2 linked regions of the Arabidopsis thaliana genome follow. Each later gene encodes a partner of the first gene's protein in a complex. Each region holds a gene or a part of one and is shown on either strand. Other genes may lie near its edges. A codon is read from its position in the direction of its gene.

What was found.
Region 2: the proteins of FTSH12 (region 1) and EMB3144 are in contact, whole or in part, in a cryo-EM structure (PDB 8XKU), measured with the Arabidopsis thaliana proteins. Residues at the interface, in NP_565212.1 of Arabidopsis thaliana: Leu255 (codon at 4,845), Ile258 (codon at 4,836), Ile259 (codon at 4,833), Asn262 (codon at 4,824), Arg264 (codon at 4,818), Ile265 (codon at 4,815), Gln266 (codon at 4,812), Lys270 (codon at 4,800), Leu273 (codon at 4,791), Leu277 (codon at 4,779), Val279 (codon at 4,773), Lys359 (codon at 4,317), Leu360 (codon at 4,314), Pro361 (codon at 4,311), Tyr362 (codon at 4,308), Thr363 (codon at 4,305), Tyr364 (codon at 4,302), Leu366 (codon at 4,296), Lys368 (codon at 4,290), Glu373 (codon at 4,275), Asp382 (codon at 4,016), Lys384 (codon at 4,010), Arg385 (codon at 4,007), Met390 (codon at 3,992), Glu392 (codon at 3,986), Tyr398 (codon at 3,968), Asp401 (codon at 3,880), Ile402 (codon at 3,877), Pro403 (codon at 3,874), Leu404 (codon at 3,871); in NP_201263.2 of Arabidopsis thaliana: Lys91 (codon at 2,848), Leu92 (codon at 2,851), Arg93 (codon at 2,854), Glu94 (codon at 2,857), Glu96 (codon at 2,863), Arg97 (codon at 2,866), Leu100 (codon at 2,875), Met103 (codon at 2,884), Glu104 (codon at 2,887), Val112 (codon at 2,911), Glu115 (codon at 2,920), Arg116 (codon at 2,923), Val119 (codon at 2,932), Met120 (codon at 2,935), Asp123 (codon at 2,944), Arg126 (codon at 2,953), Tyr167 (codon at 3,076), Tyr170 (codon at 3,085), Asn213 (codon at 3,314), Trp216 (codon at 3,323), Lys217 (codon at 3,326), His220 (codon at 3,335), Val224 (codon at 3,347), Asn225 (codon at 3,350), Val226 (codon at 3,353), Glu227 (codon at 3,356), Val228 (codon at 3,359), Asn230 (codon at 3,365), Val231 (codon at 3,368), Val234 (codon at 3,377).

The regions. Positions count from the first base shown.
Region 1 is NC_003070.9:29,924,029-29,933,017, reverse strand, and holds FTSH12 (FTSH protease 12), read right to left. Parts: upstream 6,260-8,989; 5' UTR 6,043-6,259; coding exon 5,614-6,042; intron 5,385-5,613; coding exon 5,200-5,384; intron 4,994-5,199; coding exon 4,767-4,993; intron 4,571-4,766; exon of another isoform or gene 4,551-4,570; coding exon 4,273-4,550; intron 4,041-4,272; coding exon 3,963-4,040; intron 3,884-3,962; coding exon 3,641-3,883; intron 3,538-3,640; coding exon 3,397-3,537; intron 3,293-3,396; coding exon 3,125-3,292; intron 3,030-3,124; coding exon 2,917-3,029; intron 2,818-2,916; coding exon 2,601-2,817; intron 2,508-2,600; coding exon 2,436-2,507; intron 2,347-2,435; coding exon 2,227-2,346; intron 2,134-2,226; coding exon 2,017-2,133; intron 1,907-2,016; coding exon 1,730-1,906; intron 1,547-1,729; coding exon 1,427-1,546; intron 1,326-1,426; coding exon 1,251-1,325; intron 1,159-1,250; coding exon 1,051-1,158; coding exon of another isoform or gene 1,027-1,050; exon of another isoform or gene 992-1,026; intron 959-991; coding exon 878-958; and 5 more. Other genes in the region: AT1G79570 (kinase superfamily with octicosapeptide/Phox/Bem1p domain-containing protein), read left to right, coding at 1-162; PGK (phosphoglycerate kinase), read left to right, coding at 6,723-6,917, 7,218-7,295, 7,384-7,644, 7,733-8,050, 8,159-8,317, 8,477-8,671. UniProt on the Arabidopsis thaliana protein: Probable ATP-dependent zinc metallopeptidase.
Region 2 is NC_003076.8:25,815,945-25,823,776, reverse strand, and holds EMB3144 (AAA-type ATPase family protein), read left to right. Parts: upstream 1-2,209; 5' UTR 2,210-2,311; coding exon 2,312-2,581; intron 2,582-2,847; coding exon 2,848-3,103; intron 3,104-3,203; coding exon 3,204-3,579; intron 3,580-3,669; coding exon 3,670-3,928; intron 3,929-4,030; coding exon 4,031-4,162; intron 4,163-4,250; coding exon 4,251-4,325; intron 4,326-4,396; coding exon 4,397-4,522; intron 4,523-4,602; coding exon 4,603-4,712; intron 4,713-4,800; coding exon 4,801-4,879; intron 4,880-4,953; coding exon 4,954-5,091; intron 5,092-5,187; coding exon 5,188-5,299; intron 5,300-5,397; coding exon 5,398-5,561; intron 5,562-5,649; coding exon 5,650-5,755; intron 5,756-5,850; coding exon 5,851-5,927; intron 5,928-6,007; coding exon 6,008-6,151; intron 6,152-6,242; coding exon 6,243-6,386; 3' UTR 6,387-6,394; intron 6,395-6,503; 3' UTR 6,504-6,859; downstream 6,860-7,832. Other genes in the region: AT5G64590 (NYN domain protein), read left to right, coding at 576-591, 740-986, 1,031-1,254, 1,312-1,445. UniProt on the Arabidopsis thaliana protein: Functions in chloroplast biogenesis and chloroplast division. Required for plastid development during embryogenesis. Might be involved in chaperone functions or play a structural role in the thylakoid FtsH complex.

The sequences.
Region 1 (8,989 bases):
GGCTTCTGTGACGATGAATGGAGAACACTAATGGAGGAATGTTGGGCACCAAACCCAATGGCAAGACCATCTTTCACAGAGATAGCTGGTCGCTTACGAGTAATGTCATCAGCAGCAACTTCAACTCAATCCAAGCCATCAGCTCACAGGGCTTCCAAATGAAAAACCTTTCTTTTTCTTATGTGCAGTGAAAAGAGAACATAAGTCGATTACAAAGAGTCCAATTCTTTTATACTTTTTCGATTTGGGGTTTGGAGAGAGATATTTCTTGATCCTTCTCCTTTCCTTTTTTTGTTCTTTAACAAAAACAAACAAAAAAAAGTTGAAAAGTTTATTCCAGTTGGTTGAAATTGTTTTGTCACATGTATCTGTTGAATACACATGCATCCCTTTTATAGCTATGCACTGTGTTTGCAAAGATGAAGAATTCTTGACCAGGCAAATAACAGGAAAGGTTTTCTTATGTGAGCATATCATATGGTTTCTCTGAAAATGTTCAACTGCAGATATATATCATCAAATACAGACAGACACAGTACAAAATCCGGCTGGGCCAGGAACATAACTGCGGATATTCTATACCTAAACCAATGATGGGGGGCAAAAGCTCTTTTAAGATGATTTTTTTAGATTGATCAAACCTTTTTGGTTTTCACTATTGAAGAAGTTGGGAACAATCCTGTGGTGTGACAGGATAAGAGTAAAGCTTCTAGCTTCTGTGGAGTGGCGCAGCACGTAAATCAACTGGCTGATAGCTCACTCGATCCTTGTGAGGTAAAAGCTCCTCCTGAAAAGAAAGAACAACTAGTGTCACACACTTAAAATGGGAACTAGAGCTGAGGATTGAGGATCAACAAGAAGATAATATATAGACTACATCATCAGGGTTTATCTGGAATGGCTTCACAAAATCCTCAAACATTAACGGAGAAAGATCCTTCATTTTCTCTTCCACTTCCTACAAAATGAAAGCAATATTTCTTCAGACTGAGAGTATCTAAGCACATAAAAGGTCATAATGAATTGTCATTGAAGTTTCAGAAAGTGTACCAATCCAGTAATCCTTGATTTTTCTAATAACTCTCTGGTGATTAAGTCCAGAATGTGCCTGTTTGCTCTCAGAGCATTCATCGCAAGTTCTTCAGTCTCCTCGATATACTGTCACCAACATTCAAATACCATCTATATGTTCAAGCTCCACATGGGAGAGTTTAAATCAGATTAGGTGTGCTGAGTCGAAGATAAATTACCCTTGTCAACTCACGGGTGAATAGCTCGGATACTTCTACCGACATCTCTGCTGGCATTACATGAGGATGGTCCCACTGATATAACATCACCAAGTTGAAAAGAACGTGAGGAACTACTGAGAATATGTAAGATCAGCAAAAATGGGATAGTATCAGTCTCTGATTAATGGATATACCCGGTATTTTATCAGCTCGCCGTCTGGGTTATCTGGTAAATCCACCATTCCAATCTTTTTTACAAGTTGAGTGAGACCTAATCTCGCACTTTGAGGGCTAATCACCATCTCCCTGGCAATCTGAAAATGTAATGTCAGGTCAAATTTAGAATGGAAGACTAAACATTAATATTACTCAAAACACAAGCACTTTGCAGATATGCAGTTACATAGATGTTATTTTAGCTACCGAGTTGAAGGTTTAATCAGAAGCTGAAAAGCAAGGCACAGTAATTAGTTAAACGAGAAAGGGAGAGTACTTACTTTTGTTATCTTCTCCAGGTCATCTTTTCCTCCATCAGTGACATTATCGCCAAAAACCACACGTTCAGCACAGCGTCCACCATGAGCTACCACCATTTGCATTTTCATATAACCAAACGTGGTATACCCTTGGTCTACCATGTCTTCACGTGGATAGAAAACCGATACAGCAGTTTCCTGTAAGATTCAAGAGAAAAGTTTATTTAATCCATTCTTACACTGTGTTGACTGTTGAGTGTTCAAACACCACTATCATTACAACTGAAAAATATATATTTGAAACAGACCTTGCCACCAGGAAGGAGCTGCGAAAATGCATGCCAGTCAAATCGAGGAAACAAATGAGCCAACACTATATGACCAGCCTCATGAACAGCCAGAAGTCTCTTCTTTTCGTAAGATACCTAATATTACATAAGCTTTAACGGTTAGGGCTTTTTTAGCTGTGGAGCATAGTATGTTTTGAGATAAATAGTACAAAGGATGTCAGTACGAACACTTTGTTCACATTTCTGTTGCTCTTCCTCTGTAAGAAGTACACCCATACCCTCGAGCAATTGTTTATCTAACACATCAACAATGTCTTGTTGATATATGTAAGAACGTCCCTTCCTTACCTGTAAAATTGGATTACGATCAACAACGCTCCTCTAGAAATGGTATAACTAAATTGGGAAATTGAGATCCACATAAGAATATGACATACCGACATTATAGCCGCTTCGTTAACAAGATTCCGGATATCTGCCCCGGAAAAGCCAACCGTTCGAAAAACAAGCTGGATGTGAAAAAGGATATAGTTGTTATGAATGAGCAAACACCTATATCAAACATGTTATTGGGATTGAAAAATAGCAGGAAAACAACTTGCCTTCCCAAAGTCTATATCTTCTGCAAGGTTCTTCCCAGCACTGTGAACTCCAAATATTTGCACCCTTTGCTTTGCATCAGGCAACCCAATATACAGCCGACGGTCAATACGGCCAGAACGGACAAACTCAAGGTCGAGTTCATCAGGTCTATTGGTAGCACAGATAAATATCACAGCTTGTCTCAAAGAAAACCTATCGATACCTGTCTTCTCTTTCCTGCAGGTGGTACAATATTAAGTATGAAAGCCTTGATACAAACCCGATGAAAACATGTACATATCACTAAGATTTATAAACAAGTGCAGATTCTCTTACTCCCCATCGAGTTGCGCAATTAAAGCTTCAAAAGTTGCTCTTCTCCGTGGATCTTTTCTAGCATGTCTACCAGCAATAGCATCTATTTCATCCACAAACACAAAAGCAGGGGCCTGGAGATAGTATATAAAATTAGATCCACAATAATAGTGTGAGTAGAAGACAACTATACCGTATGAGCTTTAAAACACATAACTAAGAACCTTACATTTCGTCTCGCGATTGAAAACATCTCATTGATCTTTGCAGCACCACTTTTTTCACTGTCTGTGAACTCCGCACCAGATGCAAACACAAATGGTAGCCCACTTTCCTTTGCAAGTGTTCGCGCAAAAAGTGTTTTTCCAGTTCCAGGAGGTCCAGAAAGAAGCACACCCTGACTCAAAAATGAAAACAGAGGAGAGTTTGAGCTTAGCTTAGACAGTTAAATGGAATAAACCAATATCCACATGTTAGTTTTTGGGTCAAGATGTAATTTACCCTGACAAAAGCCACATCTTTTTCATAGTATTGCATTGGGTTCCCCATGTAGATCATTAGCTCATCAAGAAGATCCCAGACATCACCGCCTAGTACCACTTCCTTATACATTGATTTTGTCTCACTGACATCTCCAACCGGCTGTATGATAATTAAAACTCATCAATAGAAGTGTGAATATGTGGGAAGAAGGCAACTAAACAAAGAAGTAACGAGGTTAATGGTATACAGTAACGATGATTACCAATATAAAATTTTCTGCATAAGCCATATCAAACAGCTGATTATACTTCTTGTAGAGAAAGCGCTTGGATGTGATAAGGAGAAGCATGGCAGATTCTCTTATAAACCATAAAATTAGTATCCCCGGCAGAAGTGCAATGAAAACTTTCATGAAGTAGTGGATCTGCCTCTTCTGAAGAAGATCCACCTCAACTCCGGCGTTGCAAATAGTCTCAAACAAGTAAGGATCTAAGGGAATGTCAACCTAGAAATAAAAAGGATATGACATGGTGAATGTACATCATTCATTTCCAAATACTTGCAACTATAATTTTTTTACTTACAATATATTCTAGAGGGAAACCTTCTTTCATGGTCACATACAATCTCTTTAGGTCTTCCGTGAAAACAACAGCTGCAACCTGTTATGAACACATACACAGATTATCGTGCCAACATAAGCTAAAAAAAAGATCTATCATCCTATCACGTCCAGCTTCAAATTAATTGCTTTGGAAAAGGAATATATTCATCATATTTTAACTCATAATGAATATACCATCACTTGTTATCATTTAAAAAATTCAACTGGATATAATGACACTTGCCACTCACAATCCCAAAGCCGGACAAGAGTATAGGTTAGAGCTGTACCTCAGAAGAATCAAGCTTCTGAAGGAAGTAGGTATAGGGAAGCTTAGGGCGATATCGCCACCATCTCTTTGATATCCAGAGAGCTCTAGTTCCCTCAGTTTCAGATGTCCTTCCAATAACATCTTCGCGAAGACTTTTCTCTACCTCTTTCATATCAAATTCAACCACATACTTCGCCGCTGAGGAGTTTAACTGTTCTGATAATTTTTCTCGTTCTAACATTTCCTTCCAGGTTGCAAGCCTTTCCCGCCAATTACCTACACTGTCTCCAATTTCACCTATCATAGAAGAATGCAATAGAGGATTAGATGGTCAAAAGCACAGGTTACCAATGATAGTAGATGAGGGATCTAGAAGTGCTGCTCTGAAAGAAACTTGATTAGTGAGATAAGATTAGGTCGTCAAAAACAAAGGTTTCGCACAATAAATCACTTCTTGTTATATCTTCAGCATGCCACTACTAAACAAGTATCACCTAACGAATGTATACTGACCAGAGACACCCAGATCTTGGCTTAGTTTCTTCTTTGCCTCTGTCTGAATCCTAGCATTTCTACCAATTATTTTCTTGAGAGATCCCTCTGTGGTCTCTAGATCGTCATCCCACGCATTTTCTCCAACATAAGAACTATCGTGGACAAGTGTTCCATCAGGCGCTTCAATGAACCTTTTTAATTTCAAGCCTTTAGGTGTTGCTTTCCTCCACATATTTCTCTTGAACCTGAAACACTAGAATAAGTCAGGACATTCTACAAAATCAAATAAACAGAAGTTCTTTTAGTCTTCCCACTCTTGACGCTTTAGATGCCTCATTAGCTGAGTATTTACTTGTTAAAGGATGATACCATAGTTTGAATATGAACCATATTTTACCATGTCCCAGTAGAGAAAATTACAATCGGAAACTGAGGATTAGGAAGCACCTACTTTTCTATATTTCCAGGAGATGGCTCGGGGATCAAAGCCTCCATAAAAGACTCTGTTAACTCTCTTCTCTCTCGTTCTACCCGAGGAGCTTGGATGGCAACATAAACTCTTTGACAAGAAAGTAACAGCGCAAAAGCATATATGAACAAGGCAGCAACTCGTTTACCGTCCCAATTCCTGATGTCCTGATACAATACATCTTCCCTCATTAAGAAACAACCTAATACACTAGTATATGTCGCTAGAATAAGCGTAGTTGTAGTCTCCTCCAAAATTTATGCTTCCGTTAAATCAACAACAAAATAAATAAATACCATACGTTTGTCCCTCAATGTTTTAGAACACAAGCAGAAGTCTAACAATACTTGAGAATCAGAAATTTGATAATTACGTTAAAAAGCTGAACCAGCTTACCTTCCAATGCTCCCACTTGTTCCAATCAATAAACGAAGGCACTGTCTCATTCTTAAAGCGAGTCAGCTCGTGATGGCCCTTGTGCACACTATCCTTAACTCGAGCCACATACTCATTCACTCTCCCACTTGCTTCTTCCGAGTCAAACCCAATTTCTGTCTTCACAGATTCTCCAATCTTCTCCCCAATCCGCTCGGCACCAAGGCGAATAGACTGAGCCAATCTCACCCACGAAAAGCCTCCATCGCTATTAGATGAAGACCCACTACTACTTTCAGACGCATAGACTCGAAAGAGCTGTTTTTTCCGGGTAGCTCCCAGTCCATACTTGGCGGGAAACCGAACAAGACCAAAACTTTTTGATCTTTTCAACAACTGAGTCGATGAAGAGATAAGCGGATTCGGTTTATACGAAATTGCAATCTCCATGAATGAAATCACAAGAAAAAAATTAAAAAGAGAACAAAACCAGACGCATTTGAAGATTTTTCCCGATTAAAGAGCTCTCTCTGAGAAAATTACTGAAGGAAAATGGTGAGTACCAACCATTCAGCTCACTCGACTCTCCGGCAAGACTTACGCTTCTCTCCGGTAAGGAGGTTTATCTACACTGATCCGTCGTTGAGAGTGTCCTAATACTTCGAAGGAGAAAGATGACGCTTAAACTCAAAGAGGCTCGAAGCCTATTAGTTATATAATTGGGCTAGCCCATTAAGGTCCATCAGCCCACTATCCGAAAAATAATATATTTAAACCGTGGAATCCAAGGAGAGACACAGTGGCAAAAAGGGTAATTATAGGGACATTTCTTGGGGTGTTGTCCAAGCTGCTTTTATATAAGGAAGGGATATTGTTCTCTCGCTTCTCGAAAGATCCATTCACCAACTCTTTATACCAGCCTCTGTAACGTTCGATCATCTTGTATTTCATTTCAACCACTCATGTAAGTATATTCTTTCTTCAGATTCCGATTGTTTTCTTCGATTAAGTTTTGAGCTAGATTCTCTAGATCTGTTTCACCGATTTGGTTGATTTCTCCGTCAATCTGAACTCGCGGTGTGCATCTTGTTGTTTGCAGTGTTTTTAGTTTGTTTTACGAAGAATCAACTATGGCGACGAAGAGAAGCGTTGGAACTTTGAAGGAAGCGGATCTGAAGGGAAAGAGTGTGTTCGTGAGGGTTGATCTCAACGTTCCTTTGGATGATAACTCTAACATCACCGATGACACCAGGATTCGTGCCGCTGTTCCCACCATCAAGTACTTGATGGGTAATGGATCTAGGGTTGTTCTCTGCAGTCACTTGGTATGATATCTTATCTCAGTTCTCACTTCACTACTTGCTTATCTGTTGTAATTTTGGTGTGGGAATTTTGATCTGATCTGTTTATCCGGAGAGCCATGCGTATAAGAAGAGTCTCTTTGCATGTTAGGATGTAGATATAGTATTCTTGTTTTTCAATATGTTCATTGACTCTATCGGTTGATTTTCTGGTGTTGTTTGGGTAATTGTTTTAGTAAGTTTACTTGGATATGTTTATACTCAAGTTCAATTGGATGATGCTGTTGAATTAATGGATGTATCTGATCTCAATTTATGTTTCAGGGCCGCCCAAAAGGTGTTACTCCTAAGTACAGCTTAAAGCCTCTTGTGCCCAGATTGTCTGAACTTCTTGGTGTTGAGGTTTGTTCCTCTTCCTCTTCTAGACTTGCAAGGTTTCTGAACATTAGCTTTTAAAAGAACACTGTTCTCACTCTGTTTGTGTTAATAGGTTGTAATGGCAAATGACTCTATTGGTGAGGAAGTCCAGAAGTTGGTTGCAGGACTACCTGAAGGTGGTGTTTTGCTCTTGGAGAATGTGAGGTTCTACGCCGAGGAAGAGAAGAATGATCCTGAATTTGCAAAGAAGCTTGCTGCTCTTGCCGATGTTTACGTTAATGATGCCTTCGGAACTGCTCACAGAGCTCATGCTTCCACTGAGGGAGTTGCCAAATTCTTGAAGCCTTCAGTTGCTGGTTTCCTCATGCAGAAGGTATTTAAAATTTGCAGCATAAAGAGTATCTTCTTAGATGAGTCTCTTTATTTTACTGATCAGACTATTACTTGTTTTATTGTGTCAGGAACTTGATTACCTTGTCGGAGCTGTGGCAAACCCCAAGAAGCCTTTTGCTGCCATTGTTGGAGGCTCAAAGGTTTCAACAAAGATTGGTGTCATTGAGTCTCTCTTGAACACAGTTGACATCCTCCTGCTCGGTGGAGGTATGATTTTTACTTTCTACAAGGCACAAGGACTCTCAGTCGGATCTTCCCTTGTGGAGGAGGACAAGCTTGACTTGGCAAAGTCACTCATGGAGAAAGCAAAGGCCAAAGGTGTCTCTCTCTTGCTCCCAACCGATGTGGTTATTGCTGACAAGTTTGCTCCCGATGCTAACAGCAAGGTAACTATCACAGTCATTGTGGTTGACTCTCAATGGGCCATGTATGAAAGTAAAACATTTAAGCGTCTGGTCTGGTCTCTTTAAAGCTGACACATATGACTCTTGCAGATAGTGCCAGCCACTGCCATCCCTGATGGCTGGATGGGTCTAGATATTGGTCCAGACTCCATCAAGACATTCAGCGAAGCTCTGGACACAACCAAAACCATCATCTGGAATGGTCCCATGGGTGTGTTTGAATTCGATAAGTTTGCTGCTGGAACTGAGGTATGAGCAACTAAACACATATAAACACAAGTTTTAGTCTCACTTTTGTCTAAATCCATTTGTCTTCAACATGTTTGTTAATCATCTGTCTTCAACATGTTTGTTAATCGGAGAAACCCAACTTAACTAACCCAATCTCTTGTCTTGTTTCACCATCAGGCCGTAGCAAAGCAGCTTGCAGAACTAAGCGGAAAGGGAGTAACCACAATCATTGGAGGAGGTGACTCTGTTGCTGCCGTCGAGAAGGTTGGTTTGGCAGACAAGATGAGCCACATCTCTACCGGAGGCGGTGCTAGTTTGGAGCTTCTTGAGGGTAAGCCACTTCCAGGAGTCCTCGCTCTCGACGAAGCTTGAAAATCCTCACGTTGGATTTCATCGCTATTTTGTGTTGTTATATGTATAACAAGTCGTCTGGTTATCTTGTGACCAGACGAGCAAGCCATTATTTATCAGCTTGAGATTTTCGTCTACGGCTCTCTTTTTATGAGTTTTTTAGTTTGGAGCCTTTTTTTAATAATAAGAGATGAAACTCTGATTGACGACAAAAAAAGAAAAGAAATGAAACTCTGATTAGCAAACTCCTCCATACTTCAACCAATGATTTGTCTCTTGCCTATAATTGTCCATTTAAAACGAAACAAGATCGTTGGGACGCATAATTGGCTTAACATG
Region 2 (7,832 bases), on another chromosome or scaffold:
GTTTTTAGTATTATTTATTCCTTGGTCATAACCCATAATTCAATTATTTTGATTTTTTTTTTCTTTTTCTTCATGCGCATTTATTATGTTTATAAATTAACCAAATATTTTTAATTTAAATGATGATAAAAATATCATTTAAAAATCTGTAATTGGAAATTTTGTTTAAATGTGATATGTTATATAAAAGACTAAGTATTTAGAGAAATATACGGTTTTATATTACAATATTTTGACCCCGGTAAGTTCCTTATCTTTTTTTACGTCTTTGGAGATTTACATATATTAGGAACAATATACGTAGTATGATTAAGATTTAAGATGGCTAAATTTATTTGGATTAGATTCTGTTCATGGATTTGAAATTTGTCTTCCCTAGACATCATACTCGGAATATTACCGTTTTACTAAGATTTGCAGACATCAACAACCCATTTATTGGGCCAAGCCCGTAGGTTTGTGGCCCACTTGACACCGCTACCGAGAAACATAAAAAGAAGAAGATTAGCGCCAACCTTGTTCTCTCTTTAATCTTCAGCAAGCAAGCATCTAGTTTTCTCGACCGATCCAAAACGATGCCTAAGTTCAGCGGTAAGATATATATGTTTTCTCTGGAAATTGTAATCTCCTTGTCCTTGAAAGCGTTAGATCTGTTGTGATGCAGTTTGGAATTTGATGTGATCGATCTTTCATAGCAAGTTAGTCGATCTAATCAGTTTTGTAATATGGTAAAACCTAGGAGGAGGGCATAGTACAGTCTTCTTTTGGGATGTCGAGGATTGCCCGGTCCCTGATGGTCTCACTGCTGAGGCTGTTTGGCGGAACATGAGAATGGCCCTTGCGAATAATGGTGAGTATCTTGGAAGGTGCGAAATCACCGGTTTTGGTGATTACTCTCTGGCCACGAAACACGCTGGAATCGGGATGATGTGCTCCCCTTTAGGTCAATTACACACACTCTCTCTATCTTTTACATATATATATAGGTATGTATCTTGTTGTTGATCCTGAGTTGATAATATGGTTTCAGGAGACAGACGTACCAGACAGAGCAAGATTTTAGTGGAATTTCTTTGCCGGGCAATCAGATCACCTTCCCAAACAAAATTTGTGCTGATCCTGGGAGACATCTCAGGCCACTCGGGGATAAAGATGCCAGACTTGAGAAGATTATTGTAGACTTTCTTTGCTGCGCAATTGGCAATCCTGAAATAGATAACTTGATGCTCATCGTGGGAGACCTCTCGGGTCACAGTGAGTTCGAATTGGCTGCTCACCTTATGAGATGTCTAAATTTCACTGTTTTCTTAGCACAGCCTCAAAACGCATCACAACAGCTACTTAAAGCTGTACCTACAAAATGGCTTTGGTCAAGCTTATCAGCTGCACGGAACGCTGAGCTAGCGTTGAATGCTAAGCTGCTGAACGGGTCGAGTTTGAAATGATTGTGTTGCTTTTTATGGGTCTCCAACTTCTCTGCGTGCAAAGATCCTTGTAGCCTTCTTCTACTCGGTCTGGCTCTGCCTAAGATCGCATTTGACTCTTTTATTCAAAGGTTTCTGGTTGTTTTTATGTCTTTTCTATCTGGTATGCATAATAACTCGGATCTTTGAGTATTACTTTGCATCTATCTATTTTGCTTTCCCTGTTTTGTTTAAAACTCCTAAGTCGTAACCAATGCTTTCCTCTTAACCATTAACCAATTTGAAAGTTTAGCAAAAAGGTCATAAGTTTTTGATTCTTTTGGAATCATCCTAATTAATAGAGAGAACATGTTGTGAAACTGATGCATGACCAAGCAAAAAACAAAATTACCGAGACAAAAAGTCCCCTTTTCTTTTGCTTTTAACACGGAACCATCCGATTCCACAACCAAAGCATGGAAGAGGTTTTGTCATATGATCCATGTTCAACCTTATCGACGTCTTTTACAATTGTGTACACATCATCTATATCATACATACAGAGCAAATGTCTCTTAGTTGACTAGAGAATGAACCAGAATATATAATGATACATATTGAAAGAGTTTCCTTTATGGATTGAGAAAGAGCTTCACCGGTTCGGTATCTTCATAATTAGCACATTTGAAAGTCAACCGGTGATGTCCGGTTACAATAGAACCGGTAATCTCTTAAAACGGCGCGTTTGAGAAACTGTTAAAAACGCACCGTTTCGATCGTCTTTTTCAATCTTCGTGAAGAACCCACCAGCTTCAAATTTCACCTCTAGAAAGTTTGTTGCTATCGTTTCTCTTTGCACTTAGAAATCGAGGGGAAATTTTTCCCAGCTCTAATCTAATGACTGAACAATGACGTTTTATATCTCGAGCTCGTTAACTCCAACCCATTTCTCGAAACCCTTAAACCCTTCTAATACCCTCTTCCCCAGTCAATTTCGAGGTTCTCTGTCTAGTTTCGTCCGTCGAAGAAAACCAACGGAAGCTAAATTAAGCTCCAAATTCAATCTTTTTCCTTCACGAAGAAATGGTTTGATTACTTGTTGCAGTACATCGAGCTTTGAGTCTACTGAGTCTTCAGTTTCACAGGAAGAAGATGCTGAGTCCAATCGTCTATTTGAGGTTTATCTCTATTTCAAATTATAGCTAGAATTATCCAATTCTAGGGCTTTCGTTTCTAGAATGCAAAGTGAAGAACTTGCAAGCTAATAAGTGATACTCAGTTTCGGACTTTGATCGTATACTTGTGTAGTTTCTGTTGAAGAGGTTATGTTTGCATTCAATACTTGAAACATTTTTTGGTTGTAGCTTAATTGATATACTTATTCCTCATTTTGTTTAATGGAGTTTTCAAAGCTTTAATTCGTTTTATCTTTTGGTTTTTGTAGAAGTTACGAGAAACTGAAAGAGAACGACTTAGCAACATGGAAGAGCTCGAGAGAAAGGCTAATGTACAATTAGAAAGGCAGCTTGTTATGGCATCAGATTGGAGTAGAACATTGTTAACCATGCGTGGCAAGTTAAAAGGAACAGAATGGGATCCTGAAACCTCTCACCGTATCAATTTTAGTGATTTTATGAAGCTCTTAGATTCCAACAGTGTTCAATACATGGAATATTCAAATTACGGACAGACGATATCAGGTGAGAAGTTTCAAAAAGTTTCGATACATTGCATCTAACTGCTTGAAATCTAGACATGGTGTTCTTGAAATCTTTTGCCTAAGTTTTGTTGTTGTTGCAGTGATATTGCCTTATTATAAAGATGGGGAGCCCCTAGGAGAAGAAGAAGATTCGAAAAAGGAGATAATTTTCCGTCGTCACATTGTGGACCGAATGCCAATTGATGGTTGGAATGATGTATGGAAGAAGTTGCATCAGCAGATAGTAAACGTAGAGGTTTTCAATGTAGATGTGGTTCCAGCTGAAGTCTATACTACAGTTGCCACTTTTGTGGTTTGGTCTATGAGACTTGCCCTCTTTGTTTCGCTTTATGTTTGGATCGACAGTATCACGAGGCCAATCTATGCCAAACTAATCCCTTGTGATCTCGGAACCCCTACCAAAAAGATAAGGCAGCCCCTCAAGCGCCAAGCACTCGGTTCCCTAGGCAAGAGTCGGTATGTTTAGAAATGCTCGACTTCCTTTGATATTGACCTCTTCTGCTCAAGTTTGTTGGATCTAAGTTTATGTTTGGTTCTCTCTGTAAGGGCAAAATTTATATCAGCAGAGGAGAAAACTGGTGTTACTTTTGATGATTTTGCGGGTCAGGAGTATATAAAGAGGGAATTACAAGAAATTGTGCGAATTTTAAAGAATGATGAGGAATTTCAGAATAAAGGCATTTATTGTCCGAAAGGTGTTCTGCTTCATGGACCTCCCGGAACGGGGAAAACTTTGTTAGCCAAAGCTATTGCTGGAGAAGCTGGTTTACCTTTCTTCGCGGCAAATGGAACCGACTTTGTTGAGGTGAGTGATTGATTGTGTCAACATGAATAACAGTGCTAAATATCTTGGTTTTTTAAGGTCTTGAGTTAATGGAGTTTTCCTGTTTTTGTTTAAATCTCTCAGATGTTTGTAGGAGTGGCTGCATCTCGTGTTAAAGATCTTTTTGCTAGCTCTCGGTCATATGCGCCATCTATAATCTTCATTGATGAGATTGATGCAATTGGAAGTAAGCGAGGTGGACCCGATATTGGCGGGGTAAGAATGCAATGCTTTCTTGTTCCGGAAATTAGATTTTAGTATAAGAGATTTAACTTTCTTTAGAAATGTGTTACTCACTGAATAGGGAGGAGCAGAGAGAGAACAAGGTTTGCTTCAAATATTGACTGAGATGGATGGATTTAAAGTTACTACATCACAAGTAATGTTTCCCTTTGCTATATAGTTTTTTTTCAATAAACAATACTTGCTAGTAATCATGGATTTTGTCAGGTATTAGTCATAGGTGCAACAAATAGATTAGATATCCTTGATCCTGCTCTATTGAGAAAAGGTCGTTTTGACAAAATCATAAGAGTTGGTTTACCGTCAAAAGATGGTAGATTGGCGATATTAAAGGTAATTAATTTTACTTTTCTGGATATGACGAGTTTTGGTTGGCTTTGTGCTTTAACGAAAAGTTCTGTTTGTAACTAAAGGTACATGCTAGAAATAAATTCTTTCGATCTGAGGATGAGAAGGAGGAGTTGCTGCAAGAAGTAGCTGAGAACACGGAAGATTTTACCGGAGCAGAACTGCAAAACGTTCTGTAATATACAATGCTACAGCTTCAACTATGTATTTAGATGCAGAGGGAAAAAAACAGAAAACACTGATCTTTGGTTAATTGTTTACAGAAATGAAGCTGGAATCTTGACAGCTAGAAAAGATTTGGATTACATTGGAAGAGAAGAACTCCTTGAGGCGCTTAAGCGGGTAACTAGTGTTTGATATCCAGTTTATCCATGCTTAGGTGCTGCTTTAGCAAATTCTGATTCCACTCCTTACAGCAAAAAGGGACATTTGAGACTGGACAAGAAGATAGTACTGAAGTTCCAGAGGAACTGAAGTTGAGATTGGCTTACCGAGAAGCAGCTGTTGCTGTTCTTGCTTGTTATCTCCCAGATCAATATCGTCCAATCAGCGAGGTTTATTAAGAAACTTGAGTGCAGTTTCCTTCATGTGTTATTTTGAATTATAGCATTACTAAGACCATTTTTTGTATCATGTGCTTCTCTCTGCAGACTGACATAAACTCGATTAGAAGCCAACCAAATATGCGTTACTCTGAAACTTCAGGAAGAGTTTTTGCGAGAAAGTCAGATTATGTGAACTCAATAATCCGTGCATGTGCTCGTAAGTTGCAAAGCCAAACTTGTCAACACTTTCTCTTTTTCGTTATAGATCACAAAAATCTCTGTCGCTTACTTCATCCCCTTGTTTGTGTCGTATAGCTAGAGTAGTTGAAGAAGAGATGTTTGGAATAGAAAACCTGTGTTGGATCTCTGCTAAGTCTACTTTAGAAGCTTCACAGCGAGCGGAATTTCTGATTCTTCAGACGGGAATGACTGCTTTTGGAAAAGCTTATTACCGAAACCAAAGAGACCTCGTTCCTAATGTAAGTTTTATATATGTACTTGTTACCTCTTTATTTTTAGCTCTTGAGAATCTCAGAAACACCAATTTCGATTCTCCTTCGTGTATAGCTTGTTCCGAAACTTGAGGCATTACGCGATGAGTACATGAGGTTTGCTGTTGAGAAATGCTCATCAATCTTACAAGAGTATCAATCAGCCCTTGAAGAAATCACAGGTTTAGAATAATATCATATCCTCTCTGCTTCGTCATTGCAATGGCAGATATCACCATACACTCAACAATCTTAAAGAGTGTAATAATATTTTCAGATGTGCTTCTTGAGAAAGGAGAAATCAAAGCCGATGAAATCTGGAACATTTACAACACAGCTCCAAGGATTCCTCAAGTTAGTTATCTTTCTCAATCTTATCTCTCTGTATTGATTTTTTTTCCGGTTTTTCCAGATCCTTTGATTCATGAAAACAGAAACCCGTGAGACCTGTCGATGAGTATGGAGCTTTAATCTATGCGGGAAGATGGGGAATTCACGGTGTATCGCTTCCTGGAAGAGTAACATTTTCACCAGGAAACATTGGTTTTGCAACATTTGGAGCTCCTCGTCCCATGGAGGTATGTAGTAGAAACAAACCACTCATAGATCATAACAAGATTAAACTTTTTTCTTCTCTTATATAATACTCTTGTGCTATGTTTGATGCAGACACAAATCATCAGCGATGACACATGGAAACTAGTGGATGAGATTTGGGATAAAAAGGTTGAAGAAATCAAAGCAGAAGCTGTTATTCAAATTGAAGAAGAAAAGAAGAAACCTCAGATTTTGATGGCAACCCATTTCTTTTAAAATCATTTGTAAGTTTCTCAGATTCACGGTTTTGTTAAACATCAATAACCAGCCAGCAGTGTCCAGAAATGCTAACATGAATTGCTGATTTGTTACTGTTTTTTTTTTGTTTTTCAGTTCAGTTTTGCGGTCTCAAGAACATCAAATGAACAAAGCTCTCCAGGTGAAACTTTAGAGATTATTATGTATCATGTAAAACATAGAGATCTGTAGAAAAGAGTGTTAGTGGAATCACACTAGTTTATTTGCTGAGAAAAATGTCAAATGTGATCATTTTTATAAAATATTTTGTTATTTTTATTTAATTGATGCAAATTTGCTTGGCTGTGTAGGGCATGGGCCAAAACAAAAAAAAGAAAGTAGATACAATCTCATCTCACTTTTTTCAAAATCAGATTGCTTTTTTCATGACCAATTTGGATATCATTATCTATATTAACAATCATAGAAATGTTGAAATACATTTGCAATTTGAACACCTAACCAATGGCGACAATAAAGTCGCAGGTCGATATCGTCAATACTATAATCTTTGCATGTGATATTTTCCTTCTTCTTTTTTTCAGCTTCTACATTTTTTATTTGAGATTCAATCTATACATATCTGCAAGAAACCAAATTAAAAAGCATCTTAATGTCATACATTAGACTGTGCAACCAACGCTTGGAGTGACGCCACTAATGGTGTTATTGAAGTTCCTTTATTACTTAGTGTATAACTTATTTTTTATTCGTGGCAGGTTTGCACATAATTACATAGCCTTAATGCTAACATGTTATTTTCATGACGATCGGATACATACACATAACCGAATATCTTATCCAGTTTTGATAATTATGAACAAAATCTTTTTTCAAAATAAAATAATGATGATGAATATATACAAGGTTACATATATAATGGGATTATGGGACATGCCTCTTCTATTTTATATTAAGAATATTTTGGGGTTTGAGAAATGTGAACAATTACAATAATTGACAGTAGTTATGTCTTCATCGATCCTCGCCTCACCTGCTCTAACTATAAATAATAGGGATGTCTAAAAAGTCACATGCCCTGTACAATAACATCATCTACCTTATGTATATTATTCAAAGATTAGGTCAATTTTTGTTGTTGTAAATAAATGTAAAAGACAATCTTGAAGAAATTATAATACTATACCCAATTGTTTCTTTATGAAAAAGTAATCTCTCCGAAAAGTTAAGATTCTAGTGGCGAATCATGCAAATTTAAAAAAATTGCGCACAATACAATGGTAAACTGATAAGTAAGAAACGACAATTAGATGATTGATATGCATCATAAAAATAGTGGAACAACAAAATAATTGACTAGCTTTCTTAAAACACTAAACGCGAAAAATGGTATATACATTTGATTTTTAATTTAAACAAATGAAAATAGTAAAATAATTGAGCATATATTATGATTCCGTAAAA